Cricetulus griseus: one gene and its partner. The protein of the gene in region 1 purifies or fractionates together with the protein of each later gene. This does not show direct contact. Links are inferred from orthologs where the notes say so. Each region holds a gene or a part of one and is shown on either strand. Other genes may lie near its edges.

Region 1 (4,840 bases):
AGCAGGGGAAGTAGTCAAACAGTCAAAATAAAAGATGGCATGAGCTTGAACATGTTAAAGATGAATGCCAACCTTAGGTCAACTGTAAGTGCATTCATTGGTCAATGCCCTGTGCTGTTACTAAAAACTCAATGGTTGTCTTTTCTCTGTAGCCTGAGTCATTGGTACAAAAGACTGGATATACCCTGGAAAGTCTTAAACCTTGTCTCATGGACCTTCACCAGACCTACCTCAGAGCAGCACAGCATGCTCAACAGTCAATAAGGGAAAAGTACAAACATTCAAAGTAAGAATCAGATTCTCATTCATTTAAAGGGTATGGTAATCTGCCACAGCTGCCTCAGTAAGGTAAATGTGTTAGGAAGCTATTGTACCTGGCATTTCCCCCTTTCATCTGGTAGGGTATGGGTAAGGTAACACACGTTTTGAGTCTAATCAAATAGAAATAGCATTTCCCTAGGCTGGGGCATATAAACTGTTCTGTGATCTCCCCAATGAATATTTACTAAAAAAAAATTTTTTTTCTGCTCAACAGATACCATGGTGTTTCTCTTCTCAACCCACCAGAGACACTAAATGTGTAAGAATGAAAGACTACCTTTGTTTAAAATGGGAGTTCACAATGTACAGTTTTGTCTTGGGTTTTAATCTCACAAATCATTTCACAATGTAGATGGTATAGCCACGGACAAATTATGGTATCCATTGCTTTTTAAATGGTTTTAATTTGTATATCTTTTGTACATGTGTCTATCTTAGATATTTGGCTAATTTTAATTGGTTTGTTAACATTTGGTGCTGCCAACTGTCAGGATAATAAGAATAAATTGATTTGGAAATCTTTGCAAGTCAAAGTTAATTTGAGATAAAAATAAGACTGATAATGTCACTTAGAAAGGCTAACTTGGTTTATTGTTCAGTGGGGGTAGAAAAAGCTTCCTAAAACTGAAATATTTCAGGGAAACTGATCTTCAAATTCTGACATTGGTTATTCTAAGCAACTGAACCAATTGCTGACTTGGTCATAAAATAAGCAAAAACTAGATTCTTCAGTGTAGCAGAGACTCCCCAGACTCATTCAGTTCTACTTTTACAAATAAGATTTTACATGGATTAGGAAGATTTTGTGCAACAGAAAAGTTGTACAGAAAGTTTATTCAAAGCATAATGTTACAGACAAAACAATTTATGAAACAGTTCAGCTCTTATAATGGATTTTCAAATAAAAAAATACCCAGTGCTGTTAAAGCACTGAATAAATATCCTTTTAGTAGTTTTATATATATATACACACAAAAATATCATTTTAGCTTTAATTAGCAGTTCTCTTCTTTTTCCTCCTTTTCACTTGACTTTTACTTGGTGCCTTTTCTTTTGCATTGGTGGTCTGAGCTCTGCGAAAATAAAGTAATACCACAACTCAGTGTATGTCCACTGAATCCTGGACTGGATCGCTGGAACTTTAAAGGCAAAGGCATCCTGTTTTACAGACATAAGTCCTATTTTTATGTATATTTGAAAGTAACCAGAAATCTGTTACCTTATTTTCTTTGGGTTCTTGTCTGGTTCCAAAATGATCATTTCTTCTTCTTCGCTATCTGACAGCACTATAGGGGCACCTTGGAGAAAATACCGAAAGTAAAAGTAACTACTTATTAGTATCATTAGTCTGAATGCTCCCATTTCCATGCACACACAGCTCAAGCTCTGCTGCCTGGAGGCAGCATATACAACATACTCTTTCCAAAAATTTTGTAAAAAATACATGTTTTTTGTAGTTTTTGTTTTTGTTTTTTTTTTTTTTAAGAGGACTCACGTAGGCCAGGACGGTCTAGTTTATTACTACCAGGGCTAACCATGAAAAATGTAGAGAACTTTTGTTTGCCCATTTTTGTCTTGAATATTAATTATATATATATATATGTAAATAAAGCATGCAAATTAATCATTTGCCTATTTTGGCTGTGTATTCTTGTCTCAGCATTCTTTATTCACATGCTTTAGAAAAACTCTACCATCATCATCCTTGTTATCTTAGCTGTTCATGAGCCTTACTAAATCTTAGGCAAATAGATATATACACAAGTGTAAAGACACTAGCCAGTGATAGTGAGGTAACAGCATTATTGATGGTTAAGACAACTGGATACAATGAATGGTATAAAACTCACCCATTAACCTAATTAAACCAACATTGTTCCCCTGTCAAAACAAAAACCAAGTCTATAAGCAATGATTCTCTTTCATGAAGACAAGTAGAATATGCATTAGTTCAGAGTGCATACTTCTCTGGTAAAGAACCTGAGTTCAGTTGCCAGCACCTACATATGGCAGGTCGCAACTTCCTGGAACTCCAGCAAGTTCTCTGACATCTATATGCATACCCTGGCACACATTTCTTTTTATGGCTTTTGGACCACAGCAAGTTAGACCTTCAAGGGACTTCTAACCTAAAGATAGTCACTGCTACCAATGTGGCCAATTTTGTGTGCATCTGTGTAAGTATACATGTGTGCTGGTCTCCACAGACCAAAAGATGTGTTGGTTCCCTTGGAGCTGGAATACAGAGGGTTGTGAACCATCCAGTGTGAGTACTGGGATCCAAACTCTGGCCCACATCATGAGCTTTTTGTTGTTTGAGTCAACCTACACAAAGTAGCTTGCAGGAGTGAGATCTTAAGGAAAACCCTTCAGTGCCATGGATATATTCTTGTTTTTCTGAGACAAGATCTCTAGTTTTTGGTGTCCCAAAACTCTCTATGTAGAACAAATATCCTCCTGCCTGTGTCTTCCCCAGTGCTGAGATTAAAGGTGTATGTCACACCTAGCCAGATGTAATTTTTTTAATTGTTTAAAAATATCACTATTATCGACAGGCAGTGGTGGCACATGCCTTTAATCCCAGCACTCAGGAGGCAGAGAGGCAAGTGGATCTCTGAGTTGACACCAGCATGGTCTAGTTCTAGGACAGGCTCCAAAGCTCCATGGAGAAACCCTGTCTTGGAAAAATATATAAATCACTATCACGCCAAAGCATACCACTAAATCCCCAAAATAGCCTTCCAAGACAGGAAATTTCCCTATATATGATCTACAAACTCCATACAGATACCTCTTTACATATATACAAGTTTTATCTATAGTTTGTATCTATAACTTATATATAGTTTATGTCTGTAGCTGTCTCTATAGTACACATTAAAAGCCAAAAGCATCACCTACCTTGATTTCCAATATCAGAAACTCCTCCAGTGTCCATCTTTGTATCATCAAGAATAACAGCTTCATCAATGCCACCTTCCTCCTCTTCCTTCTCAGAATCTTCAAGGTCACCCCAGGAGTTTTCTATTCCATCTCCAATCTGAGCAGTTCCAGGAGTCCACAGCACAGGTTTAGAAACACTTAACAAGTTAAGAAAACTGAATATCCATCCAAAACACTGCTATCTCATGAGCTATTTTCTTTTAAGACTGCTTCATATATTCCACAAATTCTTAGGAATAAAAATAAAATATACTACAGATGGATAACATAATTGGACATCACCAATAATCAACCTCATAGTAATTTGGTAATGAATGATTTCAAGATAATGTAATACCATGTAAGGATCTTTGCCATGCTATCAGTATTGAAGTAGTTTCTGAAAGGGAAATGAATGCTGGAATTTTGTATTTTCTCACAGTACTGGAATGGAACCCAGTGCCTTATACACAGCTAGAAAAGTGCAATACCAATGAGCTACATCCCCCAGCTCGAAGTTGGTTCTTAAGATAGAAAAATGTATGTTTTTTAACTGAGAGAAGCTAGAAGTATGATTTCCCCCAAAACAAATTTCAATATGCACATTATAGCCTTGATAAAAACAAACAAAAAAAATGTTATACATCTTGTTGCTATAAAGAGCCACCCAATAAAGATACACTTCTGGAGGAGGTTCAGCTTCAGCAATAATTTCTTCTGCTTTCTCCTCTATGTTGGAGGTATCAACAGAGGCCTTCTCCATTTTAAATGCTGTGATCCTTTGATTTGCTATAGACTCTGCAAAGCCAAACTTTCCACCTTCTTTCCTGTAGGTGGGTTTTTGTAATGGTATTTGGAGATGACAGTAAGAAAAGAGAGAAAAAAATTACTATTTTGGCTTTGGTAGATAAGAAACAGACTTGCTTAACTTCAGTTGTTCTCATTAGCTTTAACGGTAAACTTGACACAGCCCAAAGTCACTTGAGAAAGGAGGCCCTAATCAGACCAGACTAGCCTATCTGTGGAGGAGTTAATTGTTAATTGATGAACCAAGGGCTCAGCCTTCTATGAAGGGCACCATTCCCTGGGCAGGTGGTCCTGTCCATATCAGAAATGTAGTTAAGCATGAGCCTGTGAGCCAGCAATCAGCCTTCCTCTGGTTTCTGCTGTACTCCCTCAGCTCTGAGTTAGTTCCCTGATTACAGGTATATGAACTATCAAGGAGGCCTACCTGCCTCCAGGTTCCTGGTGAATGTGATCTAGAAGTACAAGCCAAATAAATCCTTTCCTCCCTTAAGTTGCTTTTGGTGTGTGTTTTTATCACAGCACCAGAAATCAAACTAGGATATACTACCATAGTTATCAAGACAGATGTCACCATAATTACTGAACCTCTGCTGCATATGTGATAGGTACCTGAAGTACATTCCTTAAGCTTCAAGTCTGCTATCAAGACAGACGGCACCAGCCTCCACAGGACAAGTTAAGTACACTGAAGTACTAGATACTTATTGCTGGAGGTAACAAGAAGAGGAGCTATGAACCAGCCTTTTTATTCCTTCTATTAATTTGAGTTATTAGGTTCTTTTTTATAAGA
Region 2 (4,840 bases), on another chromosome or scaffold:
AACAAAGTCAGCTGGGTGGTGGTGGCACACGCCTTTGATACCAGCACACAGGAGGCAGAGGCAGGTGGATCTGAGTCTGAGGCCAGCCTGGTCTACATAGTGAGTTCTAGGCCAGCCAAGGATACATAGTGAGATCCTGTGTAAACAACAAAGTCAGACTGGGTTCTGCTAAACTCTGAAATGAGTTCCCACACAATATGAAAAACCTTAGAGTTCTCCATTTTGATTAGAATAGCTTGACACTGATTGAATTAAGTCTGTTTAGTGCCCCAGGAAATTAAAGGAAAGCCTTTAAATCCTACAGGATGACAGGGAGCTTGGTATCAATCTTGATGATAGGTTAATTAGCAAAAAGCTCATTAGCAAAGAACTACTCTGCCACCAAAGCATTTTATTAAAAAATCTATATATTTATAATATATGCAAAGGGGCTGATTTCCCCAATATGTAAAGAGTTTTTATGAACCAATAATAAATCATAAACCCAAATGAAAATGAATAAGGAATATGAAGTAGTTCACAGGAAAGAATACATAAATATTCTTTAACCAAAAAAAGGTTTACCTTCACACATAGTAGAAAAATACAAATTAAAATCAAGATACTACTTATTTAACAAACTGACTTAGATGAAAGGATACAACATAGTATATGGGTTAGGCTGTGGGAAAACAAGCTCTTGCATCTACTGCTGTGGAAACAGATTGCTTTAATGTCTCTGGAGGACAATCTGATTGTATAGATCTAAACACAAATGCATGCACCTTGACATAAGCTCTGTTTCTAGGAATTTCTCCTTCAGATATATTTAAGTACCTAGAGAGAGTACTAGCGATGGCAAGGTGTCTCATGTCTCAGTGTTAAGAACGCTGCCTCTTCCAGAGGACCTACGTTCAGTCCCCAGAACTGACATGGTGGCTCTCAACTGTGTGTAACTTCAGTTCTAGGGGATCTGTTGTCCTCTTCTGGCTTCGGCAAGCACTATAGACATACATGGTGCACATACATAGATGCCACATAACACTAAAGACACAAATAAAATAAATTAACATTTTTAAAAAGGTACTGAAGGGTTATGGATGTAGCTCAGTTGCTAGAGTGCTTTGCTTAGCTTGTATGAAGTTCTGGGCTGGATTACCAACCCTGAAAAAGACAGGCATGTTGGTTAGGGCATAGGGAGAGGCAGGAGAATCAGAAGGTCACCCTTGGCTTGCATTTGAGAATTGGATGTCTGACACCTTGTCTCAAAAAAAAAAAAAAAGAAGGAAAAGTGAAATTTTAAGTGCTGAATAGCATGTGTGTATAAATTATATATTAACAGCACACACACACACACACACACACACACACACACACACATATTCTCTTCTACATTTATAATACACACACACACATATATATATATTCTTTCTTTCTTTCTTTCTTTTCTTTTTTTCTTTCTTTCTTTCTTTCTGAGACAGGCTTTCTCTGTGTAGCTTTGGAGCCTGCCTCACAGAGCTCTGCCTGCCTCTGCCTCCCGAGTGCTGGGATTAAAGGTGTGTACCACCATCGCCTGGCTATATTTGTTAGAAACAGAAGCACTCTGCTCAGGAAGGACAATACTCCTAGAATGGAAATCTGCTCTTTTTTTGTTTTGTTTTTTCAAGACAGGGTTTCTCTGTGTAGCTTTGGAGCCTATCCTGGCACTTGCTCTGTAGACCAGGCTGGCCTCAGCTCACAGAGATCCTCCTGCCTCTGACTCCTGAGAGCTGGGATTGAGGTGTGCACCACCAATGCCCGGCGGTATGCTAGTATTTTCATAAAAATAAAAATTATGGGGTACTGGACTGATGGCTCAGAGGTCACTGGCTACTCTCTTCCAGAGTTTAATTCCCAGCAACCACGTTGTGGCTCACAACCATCTACAATGAGATCTGGTGCCCTCTTCAGGCGTTCGGGCATACATGCAGGCAGAACACTATATATAATAAAGAAAAAATCTTAGAAAATAAAAATGAAAAATTACACATCCATATTTATGTGTTTTAACTATAGAAAATATTCCCAAAATCAGTACCTGAGGAGAAAATAATAGGAATAATTCTATCTTTGGGAACTTACTAATTTTGGACTATCTAATTGTGCATTCACTGATAAAACACAAACTCCCTAAGCTCAAGTGCCTTCTAAAGAGCAGCATCTGCTAGAGAGTGTAGTGCATTTTCCTCAGCCTGTGGCCTACTTCAGAAATCTAACATCAGAACAGAAGGAAAGGAGGAGGCTGGAAAAAGAAAGGTCCCTGAAACCATATGTGGAAGGGAAGAAGTAAGCAGGGAGCAGAGGGAGGAGCCAGGAAAGCAGCGGTAGGGGTGTGGAGTGGTAGGGAGAGCACACTGGAAGAAACAGAGCAGGAGGGCAGCGGCAGCCCTGAAGGTGAAAATCAGACTCACCTGTCAACGCCTCCCAGGAGGGAGCAGAGATCTGCGCTGAGGATGGAGGGCAGCATGTCATAGCGGCGATCCGCTAGATAGTAAGTGGTGGCCCTGGAATGACACAAGTGGGGTAACTGACCTTCAGCAGCCAGCAGAACTGCTGACAGTGTGGGCTGCAGGAGGTAAACAGCCAAGACCGGGGTTAGATTCCCCGGGGGCTACTGCTCCCATAAAGTCAGCGGCTGTCTAATTAAATAGCTCCCATGTGCCCACTTGACCAAGTCACACTGCTTTGGCTGAATATTTCTTCCACTGATGTAGAAAGTAAAAGTGACATGAATCTTGGTTGTATGAGAAAAATGGGAGGTATAGAATACCGTATTACATGTGAAAATCCACTCATTTTTAAGATAAGAGAAAGTGATGGGTAAAAGGTTAAGAAAGGACACACATTGGTCAAGGTACTGTTTTCCTGAAGTGGGGGACTTCAGGAAAATCCAGAAGAGATTTTCAGAACTGCCCAAACAGGAGATCTTGACCATCTGAAAACAGCACAGATATAAACACGCACACCACTGCTGACATCCAATAGGGTTACCTCGTTCTAGCTTCGATGTCAATGTAAGAGTTGGGGGCCACAAAGTGTGTGACATCGGCGATATGGACCCCGAGCTCCAGGTTGCCGTTATTCAAGGTTCTGACTGAGAGCGTGTCATCCACATCTTCACAGCCCTTGGGGTCGATGCTGAACACAAGGTGGGTGTTCCTCAGGTCCTTCCGCTCTCTCTCTTCTTTGGGACTCACCTTCCAAGGGTTTTCTGGTGTGTTCACTGGCATCTCACACATCTGCACCAGAGACCAAAATAGTCAGAAATCCATGCATTATAAGGTTCTCTAAATCCCACTCTTTTGAGAGGGGCTGATGACATGGCTCGGTGGTTAAGAGCACTGGCTACTCTTCCAGAGGACCCAGGTTCAATTCTTAGCCCCCACCTGGCAGCTCACAACTGTCTGTAATCCCAATCCCCAGGGTTCTGATGTCCTTTGGTTTCTTTGGGCATCAGGCATTCATGAAGACACTTGTCTACCTGTGACAGAGTCACTGTTCACTGGCCTGCAGTGCTCCAACAAAGTTAGACTGGCTGGCCATCAAACCCTAAGGATCTCTTTCTGTCTCCTTTCCCAGAGCTAAGATTATTGCGAGCATGTGTCACCATGCCCTGGAACTCAGATCCTCATGACTGCATAAGCACGTTACTGGATACGTATCTTTCCAGCCTTATTTGCTTTCTTTTAATTAATAACTGTTCATCAGGTGCCTCTGGGAAGTCAGGAGTCATCAGGAAAGACAGTATTGAAGACCTCATGGTCTATTGGAAATGTCCCATGACTTCTGGCAGTGTCATTAGTTATGGGGCTAGAACAAGACTGAATAGGTGACATTGATGTGCCAATATGTCCTGTTTCCTTAGACACCCTTTTTTAATTCAAGCCAAGCCCTGAATAGAAAAAAAAATCTATATGCCCCCCCCAAATAAAAGCTTTTTCCTTAAAGATAATTTAAACAAGACCAATCTGGAGCATTTCCCCCTCTAAGTCATCAGTTTGCAGCTAAGTAGGCTAAAGGAGAGAATTCTAGTCTTGTGAGGTCTAATTCAAACTTCATTTTATTCTAACATTTTCACTAAGAGGTGCCTAGTGAGTGAACAAATAATTTCCAAAAACTAATGTTAAACATAAAAATTTAATCATGTAAAATAGTCTAAATTTAATAATGTAAAACAGTTGAAATATTTTCTTATTGTAGCCCCTGTTATGTCAGAAGCTATAATGGAAATACGCACACCCATCTACTGTGGACGGTAATTCACACTGGGGCAATGTTTTTCTGGAAAACTATCTGCCAATATATAACAAACCTATTTAAATTTTTTATGCACTTTGACTTAGTAATTTAACTTTAAGGATTACATTCCAAGGATATGATCAAAAAGAATAAATAAGGCAACACTGATTAAAAAAAATGTTTCAAGCAATATTTCTTTCCCTAATACTGAAAAATTAAACACTACCAATGTCCAACAATTGAGGAATGTTTAAGCAAAATAGGGTAAATTAATTTCAGTAATTTGTTTTAACTACTAAAAATAAGTAGGCTATGTCAATATATAGAAACAATTTTAAATGAAGAAGGCAGAATAGAATATGTGTGCACAATGGATACAGTCATGAGAGAATAATAAAGGAGATTTCTGAGATTGTGAAAGACCATAAATTGATGGAATCACTGGTAGTGTATGTTCATTGGACTTTTGTTTTGTGTAAAGGTTTCAAAAACCATTCATAATGAGCCTGACTTTTTGATCCATCCATCTGTCGGGGGAGCGGAGCTTGTCTGGGACTGTAATAAAAGAGATGTAGGTGGGTGT

The links. Proteins that work in one complex are often made in the same cells at the same time.
Region 2: the proteins of Exosc9 (region 1) and Dis3l purify together in Homo sapiens (affinity purification with mass spectrometry; 3 studies listed by BioGRID and IntAct, with this or other methods). This does not show direct contact. The link is inferred for Cricetulus griseus from reciprocal best matches to the Homo sapiens genes EXOSC9 and DIS3L.

What each region holds. Positions count from the first base shown.
Region 1 is NW_023276806.1:113,103,052-113,107,891, forward strand, and holds the end of Exosc9 (exosome complex component RRP45), read right to left. Parts: intron 4,071-4,840; coding exon 3,924-4,070; intron 3,402-3,923; coding exon 3,223-3,401; intron 1,946-3,222; exon of another isoform or gene 1,620-1,945; coding exon 1,541-1,619; exon of another isoform or gene 1,395-1,540; coding exon 1,313-1,394; 3' UTR 1,138-1,312; downstream 1-1,137. Other genes in the region: Ccna2 (cyclin-A2), read left to right, coding at 153-286, 536-584. UniProt on the Homo sapiens protein: Non-catalytic component of the RNA exosome complex which has 3'->5' exoribonuclease activity and participates in a multitude of cellular RNA processing and degradation events.
Region 2 is NC_048597.1:175,929,293-175,934,132, forward strand, and holds part of Dis3l (DIS3-like exonuclease 1), read right to left. Parts: intron 3,258-4,840; coding exon 3,010-3,257; intron 2,523-3,009; coding exon 2,430-2,522; intron 1-2,429. UniProt on the Homo sapiens protein: Catalytic component of the RNA exosome complex which has 3'->5' exoribonuclease activity and participates in a multitude of cellular RNA processing and degradation events.